3 linked regions of the Stegostoma tigrinum genome follow. The protein of the gene in region 1 purifies or fractionates together with the protein of each later gene. This does not show direct contact. Links are inferred from orthologs where the notes say so. Each region holds a gene or a part of one and is shown in the gene's direction. Other genes may lie near its edges.

Evidence for each region.
Region 2: the proteins of use1 (region 1) and scfd1 purify together in Homo sapiens (affinity purification with mass spectrometry; 3 studies listed by BioGRID and IntAct, counting the BioPlex papers as one, with this or other methods). This does not show direct contact. The link is inferred for Stegostoma tigrinum from reciprocal best matches to the Homo sapiens genes USE1 and SCFD1.
Region 3: the proteins of use1 (region 1) and bnip1b purify together in Homo sapiens (co-immunoprecipitation; 4 studies listed by BioGRID and IntAct, counting the BioPlex papers as one, with this or other methods). This does not show direct contact. The link is inferred for Stegostoma tigrinum from reciprocal best matches to the Homo sapiens genes USE1 and BNIP1.

What each region holds. Positions count from the first base shown.
Region 1 is NC_081383.1:7,078,426-7,085,325, reverse strand, and holds the start of use1 (vesicle transport protein USE1), read left to right. Parts: upstream 1-3,895; 5' UTR 3,896-3,908; coding exon 3,909-4,010; intron 4,011-6,900.
Region 2 is NC_081363.1:61,589,808-61,597,628, reverse strand, and holds the start of scfd1 (sec1 family domain-containing protein 1), read left to right. Parts: upstream 1-4,802; 5' UTR 4,803-4,859; coding exon 4,860-4,890; intron 4,891-7,821. UniProt on the Homo sapiens protein: Plays a role in SNARE-pin assembly and Golgi-to-ER retrograde transport via its interaction with COG4. Involved in vesicular transport between the endoplasmic reticulum and the Golgi.
Region 3 is NC_081366.1:55,035,832-55,042,805, forward strand, and holds the start of bnip1b (vesicle transport protein SEC20), read left to right. Parts: upstream 1-3,955; 5' UTR 3,956-3,998; coding exon 3,999-4,082; intron 4,083-6,974. UniProt on the Homo sapiens protein: As part of a SNARE complex may be involved in endoplasmic reticulum membranes fusion and be required for the maintenance of endoplasmic reticulum organization. Also plays a role in apoptosis.

The sequences.
Region 1 (6,900 bases):
GGGGAGATTTTGAAACTGGTGAAGTCCACATTGATACCATTAGGCTGCAGGGTTCCCAAGCGGAATATGAGTTGCTGTTCCTGCAACCTTCGGGTGGCATCATTGTGGCAGTGCAGGAGGCCCATGATGGACATGTCATCTAGAGAATGGGAGGGGGAGTGGAAATGGTTTGAGACTGGGAGGTGCAGTTGTTTGTTGCGAACTGAGCGGAGGTGTTCTGCAAAGCGGTCTCCAAGCCTCCACTTGGTTTCCCCAATGTAGAGGAAGCCGCACCGGGTACAGTGGATGCAGTATACCACATTGGCAGATGTGCAGGTGAACCTCTGCTTAATGTGGAATGTCATCTTGGGGCCTGGGATAGGGGTGAGGGAGGAGGTGTGGGGGCAAGTGTAGCATTTCCTGCGGTTGCAGGGGAAGGTGCCGGGTGTGGTGGGGTTGGAGGGCAGTGTGGAGCGAACAAGGGAGTCACGGAGAGAGTGGTCTCTCCGGAAAGCAGACAAGGGTGGGGATGGAAAAATGTCTTGGGTGGTGGGGTCGGATTGTAAATGGCGAAAGTGTCGGAGGATGATGCGTTGTATCCGGAGGTTGGTAGCGTGGTGTGTGAGAACGAGGAGGATCCTCTTAGGGCGGTTGTGACGGCCGTGGGGGGGGGGGAGGGGGGGGGGTGTGAGGGATGTGTTGCGGGAAATACGGGAGACGCGGTCAAGGGCGTTCTCGATCACTGTGGGGGGAGAGTTGCGGTCCTTGAAGAACTTGGACATCTAGGATGTGCGGGAGTGGAATGTCTTATCGTGGGAGCAGATGCGGCAGAGGCGGAGGAATTGGGAATAGGAGATGGAATTTTTGCAGGATGTTGGGTGGGAGGAGGTGTATTCTAGGTAGCTGTGGGAGTCGGTGGGCTTGAAATGGACATCAGTTACAAGCTGGTTGCCTGAGATGGAGACTGAGAGGTCCAGGAAGGTGAGGGATGTGCTGGAGATGGCCCAGGTGAACTGAAGGTTGGGGTGGAAGGTGTTGGTGAAGTGGATGAACTGTTCGAGCTCCTCTCAGGCAACCAGCTTGTAACTGATGTCCATTTCAAGCCCACCGACTCCCACAGCTACCTAGAATACACCTCCTCCCACCCACCCTCCTGCAAAAAGTCCATCCCCTATTCCCAATTCCTCCGCCTCCGCCGCATCTGCTCCCACGATAAGACATTCCACTCCCGCACATCCCAGATGTCCAAGTTCTTCAAGGACTGCAACTTTCCCCCCACAGTGATCGAGAACGCCTTTGACCGCGTCTTCCATATTTCCCGCAACACATCCCTCACAACCCCCCCCCCGTCACAACCGCCCTAAGAGGATCCCCCTCGTTCTCACACACCACGCTACCAACCTCCGGATACAACGCATCATCCTCCGACACTTTCGCCATTTACAATCCGACCCCACCACCCAAGACATTTTTCCATCCCCACCCTTGTCTGCTTTCCGGAGAGACCACTCTCTCCGTGACTCCCTTGTTCGCTCCACACTGCCCTCCAACCCCACCACACCCGGCACCTTCCCCTGCAACCGCAGGAAATGCTACACTTGCCCCCACACCTCCTCCCTCACCCCTATCCCAGGCCCCAAGATGACATTCCACATTAAGCAGAGGTTCACCTGCACATCTGCCAATGTGGTATACTGCATCCACTGTACCCGGTGCGGCTTCCTCTACATTGGGGAAACCAAGTGGAGGCTTGGAGACCGCTTTGCAGAACACCTCCGCTCAGTTCGCAACAAACAACTGCACCTCCCAGTCGCAAACCATTTCCACTCCCCCTCCCATTCTCTAGATGACATGTCCATCATGGGCCTCCTGCACTGCCACAATGATGCCACCCGAAGGTTGCAGGAACAGCAACTCATATTCCGCCTGGGAACCCTGCAGCCTAATGGTATCAATGTGGACTTCACCAGTTTCAAAATCTCCCCTTCCCCTACTGCATCCCTAAACCAGCCCAGTTCGTCCCCTCCCCCCACTGCACCACACAACCAGCCCAGCTCTTCCCCCCCACCCACTGCATCCCAAAACCAGTCCAACCTGTCTCTGCCTCCCTAACCGGTTCTTCCTCTCACCCATCCCTTCCTCCCACCCCAAGCCGCACCCCCATCTACCTACTAACCTCATCCCACCTCCTTGACCTGTCCGTCTTCCCTGGACTGACCTATCCCCTCCCTACCTCCCCACCTATAGTCTCTGCACCTATCTTCTTTACTCTCCATCTTCGGTCCGCCTCCCCCTCTCTCCCTATTTATTCCAGTTCCCTCTCCCCATCCCCCTCTCTGATGAAGGGTCCAGGCCTGAAACGTCAGCTTTTGTGCTCCTGAGATGCTGCTTGGCCTGCTGTGTTCATCCAGCCTCACATTTTATTATCTTGTAATTTTCAGGTGAACTGCTTTTATGATGTCTGATGGACTGTAAACCAATATGATAGAATTAGAATTTTGACAGAACGTTGTGTGTGAGGATGAAATATTAGGGCCAGTCTTCATCAAAGGTCTTCTGAGAAACTTCCATTTTCTGTTGATTTCAAAAGCACAAGACAAGCACAAAGACTAAATGAATCTGTGTTGTGCTTTGATGATCGAACCCCTGTCCAGGGTTCCCAATTCATTTGGTTCCAAACTGGACACCTCAAATCATTATGCATCTGGGTGAGGGTGGATGTTCCCAGGAAAGCTAATGGAATGTTGGCCTTTATTTCAAGGTGGTTGGAGTATGAGAGTGGAGAAGTCTTACTGCAAATGTACAAGGTGCTGGTGAGAGCTCCTATGGAGTACTATGAACAAGTTTTGGTCCCCTTATTTAAGAAAAGATATTATTTCATTAGAGGCAGTTCAGAGAAGATACACAAGGATGATCCCTGCTCTGGAGCAATTCTCCGATACACAAAAGCTAAAGAGGTGAGATCGCTATTCACTGGATTTCAGAAGAATAAGAGGTGGTCTCACTGAAACAGAAAGGGTTCTGAAGGGGCTTTACAGTGTAAATGCTGAGAGGATGTTTCCCCTCATGAGAGAGTCTGGGACTAGAGGGCATAGTCTTAGAATATTAGGGCACCAAGTTAAGATTGAGATGAAGAGGAATTTCTGCTCTCAGAGAGGTAAGAGTCTTTAGAGCTCCTTGCCACAGAGTCCTTGGTGACAAAGTCCCTGTGTATATTTAGGTCTGAGGTAGATAAATTCTTGATCTCCCATGAAATCAAGGTTTCCAGGGTATAGGCCGTAAAATGGATGTCAGGAATGCCAGGTCAGCCAAGATCCTATTGAATGGTACGGCAAGCTTAAGGGGCCAAATGGCCTATTCATGTTCCTATTTCTTCTGATCTTATGACTATTCACTAACTGTTACCGTTGCTGCAGCAAGGTTAAATTCAAACCTCTCTGTTGAACTAACCAAATGAATGAGTTTATTAATCACTGAATATGAGAAGAAAAAGCTACAGAACCAACGTGCATGCAGATTAGAAACAAGAGGTAAATCGGAGAAAATAACAGAATAATAATCTAATCATGGAGACTCCAGGGTAATTTTGAAGAGTTGGTAACACAGATGACCAGTTTATTTGCAGAAATGATATGGAGGTGAGAATTATCAGCAGTGTTTTTAACAAAATGATTGTAGCAAACATTTTTGTGAAGATGATGAAAGTGATGAAAGTATGATTTTCAAATACATTCAAAAGTAAATGTTTGTTGGTGGTTTTAAAATGCCAGGCGCGCTGCGGCCACCAGGTGGCGCCGAGACTTAGGCAGGTTATTTTTCAGGATGAGGACCATCTTGCCGCCTCTCGTTGTTCATCACCTGCCTGCATTAATTATGGCAGCCTCCAAGGATACGGCGGAAGTGATGCAAAGGAAGTTGTTGTCGTAAAGATGGCGACCTCCAGGTTGGAGAAGAACTTCTTGCGGCTGTTGGTGAGATGCGAGTCGATGGCGGGGGAAAAGAGGGAAGAAAAGGACTGGCGGCTGGAAAAGGTAACCGGGTGGAGATAACGGCGAGAGACTGAGGCTAATAATGGTACTATATCATAAGGCATGGTGTAATGGAGCTGTCCCAGAACGCATTATTTAGCTTTTGATCAGTAACGCCCTTCAGTAATCTCGGTGCGTTGGTATAAATGCTGTAGCCAGTGCCCCTACTCTGTCTCTTAAACCCTTGACTTTTCATCTTGATATTCATGTTCACGTCACTTAATTTTTCAATGTCAACTGTCACGGTGTAATTGCAGGCTCTGGGCCACTAGGCGGCTCAATGGAGGCCAAGTTCCTGCCTCCCTAATTCTTGACGAGTACACAGCCAGACAGTTCACTCTTCGGTTTTCCTAGTGATGGGTGTGGTCAAAGATGGCTCATGTTTGATGGTCCTTGTTAAGAGCGTGGTGAGCTGCCTTCTTGGATGACGTTCTTTGGATGTAGGGACACTTCTAATGATGTTCTGGTCAGAATTTTCAGCAACAATGATGGTATTTCCAAGTCAGGGGTATATGGGGCTTGGAAGTAAACTTTCAGGTGGTGCATCTGCTTCCCTTGTTCCAACCTTGATAGAGATTGTAGGTTTGTAAGTGGCTGTTGGAGCCTTGGTGAGTTGCTGCAGTGGATTTTATTGGTATACATTGTAGTCATTATGTGCTGTTTTTGGATGTGTTCATCAAAGATCATGCCAAACCTTTTGTGTTCAACCAGGGAATTCCATCATGCTTGTAATTTGCAGATGGTGGAAAGGCTCTGGGGACATAGATGAATCATTTGCTATACAATTGCAAACTTGAAACTCTTGTATTCAAAGTATTTATGGTTTTTTTTAAAATTGGTCTAATCAGATGTTGTGGTACACCCCTCTGGTAGGTGGGACTTGAAGCCAGACATTTTGGGCCAGAGCTAGAGGACACAGTCATTGCGCCACAAGAGCTCAACAAGGTCCTGACTTGAAATGTCAGCTTCCGTGCTCCTCTGCTGCCTGGCCTGCTGTGCTTCTCCAGCTGTACACTGTTATCTCTGACTCCAGTATCTGCAGTTCTTGCTATTTCTGAAGGTATTTACATCTTGTCCAGTCTTTCATCAATGATGATTCATGGTATGCTGACAATGGGGTATTTGGTGATTATGCTGTTGAATGTTCAGGGAAGATGGCCAGATTCTTACCCATTGCGGTGATCACTACATTCCACTTGTGTAGCATAAATATGACTTGTCACTAATCAGCCGAAGCCTGAATGTTGCCCTGGTCTTACTGCTGCTACAGGATCCTTCTATACCTGAGGAGTGGAAATGAAAACTGAACAATATGCAGTCATCAGCAAACATGCCAACTTATGGCCTTTTAAAATAGAAGGAAAGTCATTGAAGCTACTGAAAATGTTACCCTGAGGACATCCTACAGAGGTGACCTGGAGCCTTCTGCCTTTGTGTTAGGTCTGATTTCCAGGGTAGAAAAGATATTGCTTGGAGTTCCAAAGTTATCTTTGGTGAAATTCATTTGAAGATTTTAGTAACTAAATGCTCCTACTTCACAAAAAATTTCAAACTTAGAAATGTTTACAGCATAAGGGCTCAAAATGCGTCATTCTATGTTGGTATGGACCAGGACAGAGATCCAGCCTATCTATTAGCTCTTGATCCAATAAAGATCTTTTTAATTTTTCTGTATTTTTGATGGACTGAAATGGGATAGTGGTTGTTTTAAAATCCAAGTGCTGTGTCTGTGTGGCACTCTCTTTATGTGTGAGTGTGTCTCTCTCTGTATCTCAGGAAAATATGGATTTCCAGGTTTTTGGGCTGCACCAATTGAAATATTACGCTCCTTTGAATTCAGTCATATCAAGAATTTTGCATGTGCGGTTCACAAATACTTGTTTTACATAACGTTTGACTGTAGATAAAGGACCACAGGCAGCCTTGGATAGTTTTGCGAAGAGTGTTCAGAGAACAGGGGGGAAATCTGTCACGGACCCAGTCCCTGCAAATAATGAGTGGCTCTTATTGTGTTGAGTTTCATGGGTTGGATGATCCTGACCAATCCCTAACCGAGAGACTAACTATCAATTTCTTTTAATATTATGAGCCAGGAATCTTGACTTGCTTTTGCTTGGGAGTCATACCATTATCAGGTAGGCGAGCTAGTAACAACTGAGATTCTGTTTCACTTCTATCTTGTCTTGATATTCAGATATTAAGTAGAAACTGAGACGAATTGAAGAAGGGAAGAAAGCAACTTCTGTTATTAATAGAAAATGATTGCAAACACACTCTATCAAACACTCTCAATTCCTGTGAGATACAGTGGCATGACATTCATGTCTATGTGGGGGAGGAGTGCTGCTCCCCCCGCCCCTCCCCTCCCCTCCCCGAGGTGTTGAGAATGACCTGTACTTCCCTCTTGAGCATATCGACCAAGGTGAATGCATTCTAAACGTCAGTGCCACTTCACTAATGGCGATCTTGCTTTTGAATCATGTGGCTGAAGCTCCATCCTAGGCCTTCAGAACATCATTTCAGGCCAGTGCCACTGCTGCAAGTGAGTTTTGGAAGAGACGTAAAACCCTGGAAACTTGTGTGCCTGAACAGGTGGGGGTCAAAAATCCGATGGCACAGTTTTAGAGAAGAGCAGGGGAGTTGTCTCTGTGTCCTAGCCAACAACTGTCTCTCCATGTAGATGATCTGGAACATTCTTATTGTTGTTTTGTTGGATCTTACTTTATTCACATTATTCCCGCGTTCCTCCTTCTCAGCAACAATTTGGACTTGAAAAATAATTAGCTGGCTGTGAAATGCATTGGGCATGTCCTGGTGATGTGATTATTGTGCTGGATAGTCAGTGGGCGCTGGTGTCCTTTTGGGCCTAGCTGTCTGTGATCTGTGATCCATC
Region 2 (7,821 bases), on another chromosome or scaffold:
ACCAACATGTACCAAGAAAATATCTGAAAGGTTCAAGTTGTTTTATGTTTGCCTATAAAAGTTTGATGTTTTTCTGGAAGAATGACAATAGCATTGGCTACACTAAAACAGAAAAAAAGTCATCTGTATAAGACCATTGGAGCAGAAATTAGGCCATTCGGCCCATCGAGGCTACTCCACCATTCAATCATGGCTGATAAGTTCCTCAACCCCATTCTCATGCTTTCTCCCTGTAACCCTTGATCCCCTTGGTAAACAAGAATCTATCTATTGTCTTAAAGGTACACAATGACCTGGCCTCCACAGCCTTCTGCGGCAGTGAATTCTATAGATTCACCACTCTCTGGCTGAAAAAATTTCTCTTTATCTCCGTTCTAAAGGTCTTCACTTTACTGTAAGGCTGTGCCCTCGAGTCCTAGTCTTTCCTACCAATGGAAGCATCTTTGCAATGTCCACTCTGTCCAGGCCATTCAGTATTCTGTAAATTTCAATTAGATCCCCCCCCCCACCCCCCACCAATCCTTCTAAAGTCCAATGAGTATAGTCCCAGAGTCCTCAAACATTCCTCATATGTTAAGTTTTTCATTCCTGGGACCATTCTTGTGAACGTCCTCTGAACCTACTCCAGGACCAGTACATCCTTCCTAAGATATGGAGCCCAAAACTGCACACAGTACTTTAAATGTGGCCTGACCAGAGCATTATAAAGCCTCAGTAGTACATCTCTGCTTTTATTTTAAAGTCCTCACAAAATAAATGCCAGCATTGCATTTGCCTTCCTGACTACTGACTCAACCTGCAAGTTTACCTTCAGAGTATCCTGGACTAGAGCTCTGAAGCCTCTTTGCACTTCAGACTTCTGAAATTTCTCCCCATTTAGAAAATAGTCCATGCTTTTATTCTTCTTGCAAAACTGCGTAACCTCCCAGTTTCCCACGTTTGTACTCCACCTGCCACTTCTTTGCCCACTCTCCTATCCTGTCAAATCCTTCTGCAACCTCCCCACATACTCAATATACCTGTCCCTCCACCTATCTTTGTATCATCTGCAAACTTAGCCAGAATGCCCACAGTTCCTTCATCTAGGTCATTATGAATAAAGTGAAAAGTTGTGATCCTCTGACCCTTGTAGAACACCACTTGTCACTGGCTGCCATCCTGAAAAAGACCCTTTTATTCCCACTCTCTGCTTTCTGCCAGACAGCCAATCTTCTATCCATGCTAGCGCTTTGCCTCGAACACCACAGGCCCTTATCTTACTCAGCGGCCTCCTGTGCAGCACCTTGTCAAACACCGCCCTGAAGTCCAGGTAATTAACATCAATTGGCTCTCCTTGGTCTACCCTACATGTTACTTCCTCAAAGAATTTTAGCAGACTTGTCAGGCATGGCCTCCCCTTGATGAAACCATGCTGACTTTGCCCTATTTTACCATACACTTGCAAATATTCAGAAATCTCATCCTTTATAATGAACTCCAATCTTACCCAAAACCGAGGTTAGGCTAATCATCCTGTAATTTTCTGTCTTTTGCCTTATTCTCTTTTTAAACAGGGGTGTCACATTAATGATTTTCTAGTCCTTTGGGACCCTCCCTGACTCAAATGATTCTTGAAAGATCACCACTAATGCTTCCACTATCTCTTCAGCCATCTCCTTTCGAACTCTGGGGTGTAGTCCATCTGGTGCAGGGAATTTATCCACCTTCAGGCCAACCAGTGTTAATAGCACTATTTCCTTCATGATGGCCACCATTCTCAGCTCTGCCCCCTAATTCTCTTGAATTTTTGGGAGATTACTCATATCTCCTACCATGAAGACTGACGCAAAGTAATTATTATTCAGTTCCTCAGCCATTTCCTTGTTCCCCACTACAATCCATCGTCCATCATTTTGCAGTGGTCCAATGTCCACTTTTGTCTCTCATTTGCCTTTTATATATTTATAGAAACTCTTACAGTCTTCATTTACGTTACAGGCTAGCTTACCCCTTTTTTTGTTGCCTTCTGTTGGTCTTTGTAAGTTTCCCAGTCCTCTGATTTCCCACTGCCATTCACCACATTGTATGCTTTCTGTTTTGCTTTTATGCTATCCCTGACTTCCTCAGTCAGCCATGGTTGCCTCAGCATCCCTGTACCATGCTTTTTCCTGGGGATGAATTTTTGCTGCATCTCCTGAATTACTCCCAGAAACTCCTGCCATTGTTGTTCCACTGTCTATGTATGAGGCTTCATAAAATATTCTTTTAAAATTTTGCATGTTTAAAGTTACAATATGATAACACTCTAAATTCAGAGGATAAGATACTCTGATGGTTTGGTTGATGTTGTAAATCTGTATAGTTTTGGGCAGAATGGACTTGTACATAGCACCTTTTAACAGGAAAGCAACATACATGAAGAGCAGTATTTAAAGATCATGTGAATGTTTTTAATTACTATTTTTAAATTGTTTGGTTCAATAAATTTTAGAAATTTTTTTAGAATCATTTTAGAATAAATTTTTTTAAAAATTAATTGACCTCTGCTTAGACAGAATTTCACATTGCCTTTAGGGATCTGAATCTCTTGGGAGCCTGTGTCCTACAACCTGAGCTGCCTGTTCAGTTTGTGAGTGAGACTTTTCACCATGTAAAGAGGTATTTTTGTACAGGCTGCTGTTGTACACCTTCCACTTTGCCTCCTTCATCTGCCACTTGGACATGCGTTGGCATGGTGTTTTGCTGCTGAGCAGTGGGGATTCCACATGGAAGGCCGTCTGAGTGGGAGTCCTCCCATTTTCGATCAGGGACCTGGGGTGAAGGATGTTGCACACAGCAGTTACTTGAGGTTGGTTGGTTCGCAAAGCTGCTTTGTTGTTCCGCAACCATTTCATTACCATGCTGGATAACATCCTCAGTGCAGCCTCGACACCCACAACCCAAGCTACACAACAGTTACTTATAACCACAGATTATAGCAGTTCACAAACTCCAAGCCCATCTCTTTATTTGTGGCACCATGGACCATGTGTGAATAGAATAGATTCCCTACAGTGTGGAAACAGGCCATTCAGCCCAATAGGTCCATGCTGACCCTCTGCAGAGCATCCCATCCAAACTCTGACTGATTCCTACACCCTATTCTTTAAGCCTATGTTTCCAATGGCTAATGGCCCAATCTACACACTTGTCTGAACAGTATCCCCCTACCCCGCATTTCCATAGCTAACTCACCACGACTAAACATTCCTGAACCCTATAACAATTCAGCATGGCCAATCCACCTAATTTGCACATCTTTGGGCTGTGGGAGGAAATCCGAGCAACCAGCAGAAACCCACACAGAGAACATGTGAATTCCACAGAGAACGTTGCCCGAGGGTGGAATTGAACCTGGGTCCTTAGCACTGTGAGGCAGCAGTGCTATCCACTGAGCCAGCGTGCCGCCTTTAAAGCAACAGCACTGAGGATCGTAGTCAGCAGGGTTATATATATATATTGGTTGTGAACACTTGCGCATCCTTTTTGATTATTTGAAAAATTGCCAGTTCTGTTTTTTGGTTGCACCTCAACACTCTCGATCTTTGGGCATTCAGAGCAGGGGCCTGTGGGTAGTTTGGAGGCTGTCCTCCTGGGTATATGCCTAGGCTTGGCCAGGCTGGCTATCAGCAGGTTATTCCAGGACGTCATCTCTGCCAACTGTTTTTCCCCTTTCTGCAGTTACATTCATACCTAGGTGTCATCGGAGAGGGAGGACACAATGTCCACCAATGCTCACTAGCCCTTTAGAAGATACGCTGTGGAAGATACTGTGCTTTATCTCCCGTCCAACTCCATTATGCCATAACCCTTCCTGTTCTTCCTGAATGTCCCTCACTTTTGATTGCTTCCAAAATGTTTCCCCAATTAGAAAATAGTCTAAACATGTATTTTTGCTGGAACGTGAATAGTTGTGATCCTGATACAGACGCTTGCAATTTCACTAGTTACCTGCTTACAGTACTGGAAAAGTCCCCTTTATCCCTACTGTCTGCTTTCTGACAGACAGCCAACCTCTGTCAATGTCAGTACCTCACCCCTAACACCATGCTGCTCCTCCTGACAGGCTTCTAAACAGCACCTTGTCAAGGGCCTTCTGGAAATTGAAACAGATTACAAGCATTGGCTCTCATTTGTTTAACTCATTTGTTATCTCCTCAGCAAATTCTAACAGATTTGTTGTGCATGACTTCCCTTTCACAAAGCCGTTGATGACTCAGTTCTATTTTAGCATGCACTTCCAAGTACACTGCAATCTCATCCTTAACAATGGACTCTGAAATCTTACCAACAACTGAGGTCAGGTTAACTGACGTATAATTTCTCTTCTTAAACAGGGTTACTACATGAGCTATTTTCCTGTCCTCTTGGATCCTCCCTGACTTCAGTGATTCCTGAAAGATTTTGTTGAGAAAACAGATTTGAAAATTATGAGAGATAATGGGAACTGCAGATGCTGGAGAATCCAAGATAATAAAATGTGAGGCTGGATGAACACAGCAGGCCCAGCAGCATCTCAGGAGCACAAAAGCTGACGTTTCAGGCCTAGACCCTTCATCAGAAAATTATGAATAGTGTTTCCGTGGTCTTCTGGCAAACATCCAGAATGCACAACATCCTGTTTGATGTCAAACTGTCACTTAATTCAAAGTGGAATTATGCAAGTGGAAGTCTGCTTACGCGACCACAACTGACACTGCTCACTGGCCCAGCGATTGGAATCATTACGGTAAAAGACAACCACGGCACACAGGGGCCCGACTATGTGGATCATTACGGTGCCGCGCAGGCTCTGAGTCGGAGCTGCCACGTCATCCGGAGCAACGTCAGACGAATCCAAGATGGCGGCGTCCGTGCGAGAGAAGCAGATCGGTGAGTAGCCGCTTGACAACAGCTGTTGTTGTGATTACACAGGCGAAAGATTGGAAACTCCGGCATTCCTGATAGGTCGCTGTTATGTGTGCAAAAATAAAAGACCGGCAGGTTGGCCGGGTGCCGTGTCAAGCCGAAGAAACCTCGGTTGTAACAAACTGGGATTGATGATCTGGCTATGAACCCAGCGGTCGATGGGGATCTTCTGGTGTTATCAGTATCAGGCGTTTGTCACTCTTATTTTGCTCTGCCTTTTCTCAAGGCACTCATTATTTATGTAGAGGAATGGTCTTGCTCTGAAACAATGGCATCTGTGTGTCCACAGCGAAAACAATATTGTTCTGGCCCACACAGTTTCTGCGTTTAAAAAGAGATTCAGCGATGCATGTCGCAATGGTATCTGGTAATTATCAGTTAATTGTTCACAAATAATTAAAATGTTTGATAATATCCATATTTTTAACTGATTAAAATTGGGGCCAGTTTTCTTTTTTCATATCCATGTTAGGATCTAGGTAGGATAAACGTCCCTCTAGTTTCTCGGTTCCCATTATGACCAATGCTTTCTCTATATTAGACTTAGAATACAGAAGAGGTATTTACTAGGCATTTTGAGTACAAAATTGATTTGTTATGGAAAAAGAAAACTTAATCTATGAAGTGTATAATTGCTGAACGCGGTTTGAGAACTAAACATTTATTCCTCTAAATAGCCTGGTTAAAACACACATCAGGCAAAGGAAAACGAAGAAACAGGATTTCTCTGCAGATTCATTTTTAAATGAAAAAAAAATCACTTCTGCCAATAAGTCTTACCATTTTTCCTTCAAGAACTAAGGTATTCATATGGCTGTTGGTCTGACACTCTGGTGCACCAAAGACAGCTATCACTGAACATATGCAGTTGCCACAGGGGAACTTAGCAGATCTATTCAGGGAAAATCAAAATTTTCTCACGCAAGATCAGCTGGATGTGGGCTCCAAAAAGCACAATTTCAAAATAGTGGAACCCACTTATGACTGAGTTGAGGAGAATTTTTATTCAGAAGGTTGTAACTTTTGGAATTCTCTGCCCTAAAAGGGTGTGGAATTTCGGTCACTATAAATGTTCAAGGTAGAGATCAACAGATTTCTAAATAATCGTTAATGTAAAGGGATGTGGAGATAGTGTGGGGAAAAGGCATTGACATGAATAATCGTCCTTGATTATATTGAATGGCAGAGGAGGCTCAACATGCTGAGTGGTCTAATCCTATTTCCATGCCATACCATACTTGACTGACAGGAAGGGCTCTTCAGCTGAATTGGAAGACTTCTTTCCTTCAGCTTTTTTTCCCAATTGAAATTCAAACAAACAATCTCCAGGAAGAACTAGCAGCCAATCAGTAGTACAAACAGTACTTCTTTTTCCCCAAAGAGGTTTCAGATAAACCAGATTGGCAATTAGCTGGCACTGTGCAGTTTCCAAGAGTGACTAATTTAAAAAGAGTTCCAAAAAAGTCTCATTCACCTTTTAAAAATAAAACAGTTCAGGTATCTCCACAATCCTTTCAACTCAAGTCAGCAAATTACTAATTATGAAGTCTTCATAACAGCATTTATATAAGCATACCCACACCACACAATTGAGACCATCTGTTATACCAAATGATTATCTAAGAACAAGTAGTTCCTCATTGTAATGACTTGCGTGAATCAAAAAACTGTCACTTGAGTACTTCAGTATTGTAGTCCAAATACACCTTTCATTAAAATGGTCCAAAAAGGCAGATTATCATTCTATTCTAACTGTTTCAGCTCTCTACATGATGGCACAGATTATTGCTAATCTAGCCATCAAAGTTTACTTTTAGAAGATAACCTGATGCAGAATATAATGCTTTTGTTTTGTGGACAACAGTTCATGAGATTCAGTTGGTGATTGAAATTAAATACAGAAACCTAAGAAAGAGGGGCAAAAGTAGACCATTCTTCCCTTTGAGCCACCTTTGCCATTCGTGTGATCATCCAACTGAGAGGTCTGTTCCTGTTTCTCCCTAATATCCTTGATCCCATTAGACACAAGTGCTCTCCAACTAATTCTTGAAATCATATAAAAATTTGGGCTTGACGGCTTTCTGTGGTAGTGAATTCCATAAGCTTAGCACTCCCTGGGTGAAGACATTTCTCTTCATCTCAGTTCGAACTGGTTTTATCCACATCCTTAGACTGTGACACTATTTGGTTGGTGTCCTGGATTAGATTTTAATGTTTCTGTATTTGAGCAAGTTCTGTGGTCTGAGCAAAGCACATCATAGTACGTTATCAAGGAGAGGGACACACTTGTAACATACTCTCGTTGTTTACAATTTAATATGTCTAAGCAAAAACTGGCTCCATTTGAAAAGTGCCAGTAACCTGTTTGTAACCACATGATAGTTATTTATTGTTTTATGCTAAAAGCTGGATAAAAGTAAGTTAGTATACATAGAATAAATAACATTGAAAAATAGTTTTGAAATTGAAGCTTGCTGTGAATATTTGCATTTTTTGAGGTTCCTGGTATGTACTAATTAACTTTGTTAAGATATATCTTTCATGTATAAATTACAATTGCTGAGAGACAATTCCGTTAAAGTTATTTAGAAAGTCAGTGTCCTGTCTACAGCCAAAAAGTATCCCTTTCATTATACTAATTAAGTTTCCATTTCCAGTTCAACATTAAATTCTGAGTTTACTATTTATAAAAATGCTTGTATTACTTTGTTTTTTTAGGATATCTTTTAGTTTTTTTTTGCTTCAATAAGTTCAAAATAAATTTAAAATTTTCACAATTCCATTAGAGACTAATAACTTTTAAAAAGTTAATACAACATTGGTTAACAAATACAACTGAAACATGTCTGAAACATTTTGACGGAATGTCATGCTTCTGGTTAATTTGTCGAATTA
Region 3 (6,974 bases), on another chromosome or scaffold:
ACAGTTTCTCTGGTAAGAGGATCCCTTTTCAGATGAATTATTAATTACAAGCCCCAAACCCATCTGACAATACTAAATAAACATCATTGTTTGCAAACAGTATTTTAATAATGCTTTCAAGAAAACAGGCCTTTACTTGCAGATATTATTGGGACATGTATTTCTCACAGCTGAGGATATTTATCTTTAGTGTAACATTTGACAATGGGACCAATAGCTTATAATACTTCATACAAACACTTTTTTATTTTCTTAGGGAAAAGTGGGTAGAAAATGGAATGTGGTCCCATTCAAAAAGTAAAAATTCCATGTAGCTTTTGTATAAAGTTATGGCTCTGAGATATTAATATTCATGTTTCTGTAATGGAGCCTCTGTAAGCTTGCAGCAATGGTGTGGAAGGTGATTGAGTATTCGATAGCATCCTCCCTGGAGCATCTTTGTCAGAAAAGAGGCCACACACAAACAGGGAGAGACAGACAAGGGTTTACTGCAACTGGATATGAACTACAGGTTTAGATCCACACAAATACTCTGTTTTCCTAGTTTAACTGTAAAATCCCCCTATGTTTGAAAAGTAAAGAATCCCTGCTTCATGATCTTTGAGCCATCCACATGCTTAAATCTTGCATTACATTTCTATCAGTCAATAAGATTTCACAGAACAAGCCTCAGGCTGATGAGTTTGAAAAGGGCCTGGTCAAGATGGAAATGATGGTGAAGGATTGAAAATTGCAATGTTTATGTGGAAAGCCAAAGCTGTTCCGGTATCTTAAACCCAGTCAGATGCTCCTCATGTGAGTTCCCAGGGATGCTGTGGAAGAAGGAAGGAGCACTCCTGCTCAAATATTCTACTTGACAATGAGTGGGAAAATTGACAGATTTGGAGGAAGACTAGAAACACCTGATAATTCTGTGAATGAAGACTGGACTGAGGGCACACAGCTAATTACAGCAATGCAGAAGTCTTAATACGAGCAAGGAGGCGGTGTTTATTATTAAATCAAATATGTGGAAAATCTACTGGGAAGATGACCATGTGTTTAAAGAAGTCCACAATGGATCTTTGAGGTACTGAGGATAATATTTGGGACAGCTATAGACTGAAATAGCTACAGCTGAGGTCTTACGAATACAAGCAAGCTGAATCAGAAGACTTGGTTCCTGTATCCCTGGAGCTGAGAAGATTGTTCAGCCACATCATCCTCCTGAATGTCTCCTTCAAATCAATCAGGGACAGACAGCTATAGTACTGCCTAGGCATTGTAGCCAGATTGATATCCCAGTGGAAGTAGAGACATCGAGAATAGCCGTGGTTTTGGGTTGAATGTGTTCAGAGATATCTGGCTGATCTTGGAAAGGTGCTATAAGCAGTAGATTGAGGTTGACAGATGTGGCTCAGAAGTCCTTAAGCGTGCTTCATGCACTCAAGGTACATCAAGCTTTAACAAATCCTAGAACTGTTTGTGCAGCAGGGAATCATTCTTCTATCCATCCGTGCAGTGACTGTTCTTGAACTTTCATGCCAGTATCTCCAACTTGTCAACTTCGGGCCTTGCTAGAGCATAAAGAGTCATATGGAGTAGAACTCTCACTTGATATAACCCTGGAAGACTTACTGTGGGAGAAATGGGTAGTCTACCCATGCACATTGCCAACTTCAGCGACCAGAAACACAATGACCTTAAACCTGCAACTGTCAAAGACAGTGAACTAATTGGAACAGATGTCTCTCAGCTCATTGCAAAGACGGACATTGGCGAGTTGGAGGAGAACCAGAGGAGACAGGTTGTTTCTACTCTCACTGTGTATGGGACAGCATTCATTAAAAGTGATGGTGACATTGAGTACTGTAACTAAAGATGACAGTCTGGTAAAGATTCCTTACCACCGGAACCCATCCCGTCACCGAAAGTCCGAGACTTCCAGCAGAAGCCTTTAGAGAAAGATCTTGGTCAAAGCTTAGCAAGTCCATACATCTCTCCCATAGTCCACTTAAGAAAGAAAGCTGGAAAACTTGCAGAGCTAAATTCTGGATCTCCATATCTGATTCATTCAGTCACACCCTTCTTCCTTGGCTATGGACCAAATTTGACAGAATTAATCTAAGGGATGTGACTGCCTCCTGAAAGAGGTCCTGATTTGAGAAAACACATGTTTGTCATATCAGAAACTAGCTACAACATTTATGTTGTGACCTATGCAAGTAGTGGGCTAATGACAAAGAGAGAGAAATAGAGACAATGCATGATTCCAATTTTGATCATAACAACATAATTGTGTAAAGGGTTAACTATAAGGATTAAGGGGCAATATTGCAAAAGATCATGGTTCTGAAGGGGTTAATTCCCGTTCATGCTACATTCTTTCCAGCCATTCAACAACAGTCATATGCAGTAGACACATGGGCTTCTACTTTTGCTTTCAGAGGGAGAAGATGTACCAGCTCCCTAAGATCCTAATAATTATGTCTGAGCAAATGCAGTTGCCTCATTTCTGTCATGCAGTAAACCTTCTTGATATCCTAGAGCAGAGCTTCTTCTGTTGATACTCCACAGTGCTGTATCCTTGACCACTAATCACCAGATATGTCCAAGACAAACAAAGACAGAGAACACCTCCGCTCGGTTCGCAATAAACAACTGCACCTCCCAGTCGGGAACCATTTCAACTCCCTCTCCCATTCTTTAGATGACATGTCCATCATGGGCCTCCTGCAGTGCCACAATGATGCCACCCAAAGGTTGCAGGAACAGCAACTCACATTCTGCTTGGGAACCCTGCAGCCCAATGGTATCAATGTGGACTTCACCAGCTTCAAAATCTCCCCTTCCCCCACCACATCCCAAAACCAGCCCAGTTCGTCCCCTCCCCCCAACTGCATCACACAACCAGCCCAGCTCTTCCCCTCCCGCCACTGCATACCAAAACCAGCCCAGCCTGTCTCTGCCTCCCTAACCTGTTCTTCCTCTCACCGATCCCTTCCTCCCACCCCAAGCCGCACCTCCATTTCCTACCTACTAACCTCATCCCATCTCCTTGACCTGTCCATCTTCCGTGGACTGACCTATCCCCTCCCTACCTATACTCTCCTCTCCACCTATCTTCTTTTCTCTCCATCTTTGGTCCACCTCCCCCTCTCTCCCTATTTATTCCAGAACCCTCACCCCATCCCCTTCTCTGATGAAGGGGCTAGGCCTGAAACGTCAGCTTTTGTGCTCCTGAGATGCTGCTTGGCCTGCTGTGTTCATCCAGCCTCACATTTTGTTATCTTGGATTCTCCAGCATCTGCAGTTCCCATTATCTCAAGGACAGAGGAGAGTTGGCCAAAGCACTATCTCAAGGCATCCTTATCCAGTATTACACACTGATGGAGGTGGCAAATACCATAAGGTACCAGAAATGATCATGTGAAAATGTCATAGTAACGAAAGTCCAAATTTGATTCACTTGGTCCAAAGGACATTCTGATGCTAGTCTGACAATTGTGTAGAACTTTTAACAACAGTGCACCATTCCAAGACACAACTGGCTTTCTTTTAACACTTGCAAGTTCATTCATCACAGGGTTTTTATCCAAAACAAATAAGTTTAGAACAGTAGGAGGCAATCTTGGGTGTCGGCCAGATGGAGTAAAATCAGATTTATTTATTAAGCTGTATTTGTTCGGGTCTCCGACTCACATGACCCACACACAATCCAGCCAGCTCTTACTCTTAAAACACTTCCATGAAAACTCACAAGATATTTTGACTGGTCTTCCAAAGGTCTACGGAACTTCATCTGTAAGCTCCAAGTCTATTGCATATCGAGGAGATGTTAACCTCTACCTGCTAAGTACTAGGATGAGTGCACCCCATTTAAAAAAAACGGTTTTATATTCTCAAAGCATTTCAGTCATTGTAGCAGCAGGGAAACGTTGCCTTTCGGCTGCGGATCTGTTTTGGAAGAAGTGCGTTTCGCCCACGTGGCTCTGGGCCTCCGTAGCCACTGGGGAAAGATGGCGGTTGCTCCGGATGTTCTTGTCCGAATCTGCGCGCAAGAAATCATCAAATATGATCTGGAAATAAAAGCGCTGGTCCAGGTAAAGTTGCGAATGATTCACGCGTTGTCTTAGTACCGAAGAATAACACCTAATTTAGAATGGTCTGTACTGAAGTTGCACAGAAACAGAACTGTGTGCGTGTACCGACAGTGTATTTATCCGTGGGACCCAGAGTATGGATTCAACCTGTAAATTATATAGATCTGTGATTTTTTTTGCAGCTACCTCATTAAAGGTTTAGTAATTGTGAACAATAAGTATGTGCTTTTGGTTTTTTTTTCATGCGATATCGGTGTCGCAGTCAAAACCAGCGTTTGTTGCTCATCCTTATTCGCTGTTGAACTGGGTAGCTGATAGGGCCGGTACAGAGGGCGTTTAAGACGCCTTCGTATTGCTGAGCCCGGAGTCACGTACAGACCAGGCCGGGTATGGTGAACCAGATGAGCTTTTACAACAGTTGATAATTTCACTGCAACGCTGACGTCAGCTTTCAATTTTATCAATTGTATTAAATTCCACCAGTTGACCACTGCACCACACACCCTTGATTGTGCAGACATATGCACATTTCATCCACTTAAATTGAGGGTAATTTTGGATTCCAGCTTCTGAATCACTCTGGATAGAATAACTGGGTTTTGGTGATGATAATGAAATTATGTTAATCAGAGCCAGAGTAACATATACTTTGTCATGGCACCTTTATGTTCTGAATTTTTGTACAGATGATTTTAAACCATGATTTCTTCCCAGAACTTCCATGTTGTTCTGGTTTTATAGGCCCATGTCAACATTGTTTAAACATATGATTAAATGAAAATTTAACATAATGCAGTGTGTGATCAGCACGTATTAGGCTCTTGAGTAAACTGCTCAAGGTGAAAGTCCTGCTATGATTGGAGAAAAAAATAGATGCTACCCTTAATGGTGCTTCAGGCTATTCGAGCTGAAGGAATAATAAAGAATAACTTGCTGCATCCATAAGTAATGGAAATACCCTAAGTTATGTTTAATATTTCCAAGTGATTATTTGTATGTGTCAGTTCATACAGCAGCTGATCTTTACAAGAGGTGATTTTATGTTTCTAATGTGTTCACTTTTTAGATTTATTAGGAAGTTTTTCTGTAACAAGATGTGTAGGAATTTCTGAATGCAATGTGCATTTTCTCTGTTTCATCAAAAATGAACAGCATTTGCATTTTACTGGTGAAACTGAGAAGCTCACTCTTTGTTGGATAGAAGCAGGTTACTTAAACTATGCAATTTCATGAGAAAAATATGCAAGTTTGATTATAGATGCAGATAGAAATACAGATCTACATCTGTCATCCCTCTGACTGACTTGAGGGCTTTCTTGCTACTGATGGAAATCAACATTTAGAAGCGATGGATCAAAGATCTTGGAACTGATGCGAATGCATTGATCAAACCTAAGATGGCTGTTAAGTCTTTAATCAGTTAGGAAGGAGTCAATCTCCAAGTTGATACACAGTCAGATTCTAAACAAGGCTTCACACCTAAAAATTTCTGACCTGAGATGTCACCTCTGGTATACTGAGGGAGATACTGAGTTATCTAGGGGCAATGACTTGAAAGAAATTTGGAATTTACATATTAATCTGTCTATTGCCATTCGCTGTGGAGAAACAAAAGGTTTTGGTGTGCATGTATACAAATCAGTTAATGGAATGTGCACCTCAATGTCAAGGGGCCCTGGAGTACAAAAATGATAAACTGATGTTTCAATGTATGGAGTATTGGACGAATCCCAACTGAGGTACTGCAACCAGTAATGGGTTCCTGTATTATACCTCAGTAAGGATATGCTTACTCAGAAAAATGTGCTATGTTGTAAATTCTACTGAATTGTAGCAGAGCTTAAAGGGTTAAGTTGTAAAGATAGATTTCATAAACAAGACATGATCCCATGAGGTTTGAAGACTGGTGGGTTGTCATGTGTAAAATAGTGAAATAACTTGATAGATTAGAAACTAATTACTGTGTTGGGGAATTGTGAAACATAAAGGCAATGGTTTTTAAAATTAAAGTTAGACCATGCAAAGATGAAGTCAGGAATCATTTTCATTAAGAAGGTAGTATAAATGTGCAGTTCCTTACCCCAAATGGGTGCGACTGCTTTGCCAAATGAAAATCTCAAGACTTGGGTGTACTTTTTTTTCCCCGTTGGGTAAACAGAATCAGCAGTAGGTAAGGAGTTGACGTTGAGATATTAGCTGTAATCTAACTGAACATGCTGATGGTTACGAATATCCCATACATGTTCTCATGCTATTGTGTCCTAAATGATAAAAGCAATGGTGAAAAATGGCCGTAAAATGCAGCTTGAAACTCCCAGTGGTCTACTCATGACAGCATGCCAACTCTGTCCTGCCCATTTGCGTTACATAAGTTAATGTGCCACACTTAAATGGAAGTCGAAATAGTTTTAAAAAGGAGTAGTGAATCATCTTATATTTTTGAGTTGGCTTTAAACCAACTAATGTTTCTTGGCATTCAGATTTTACATCCAAATTGATTTGGCTAAAGTTATTTTTAGTATTAGCATAATTCAAGCTTTATTGCTAAATTGACTACAGGTAGTTGAAAGTTCTTCATTCCCTTGTTAAATTGTAACTTCACTCTTAAAGCTTTAGTAATGTTGAATGATAGAGCAGATTAATCATATTGCATTTGTTAATTTATAGGTTTCCGTTATCACATCTGAAGAGTTAACCATCGTTCTGAACAGATGCTGACCAAACTGCTTTGAATTTCGAGTATTTTATATCAGTTTTGATTTATTTTCCATATACTTTCAACATAATTACTTCTCTTTAGATTGTAGAACCATTATGACTTGATTTTGATCTATCAGTGGTAAAGAATCCCTCATACATTTGAGCAGTGTTAAAATTAGTAAAACAGTTGGA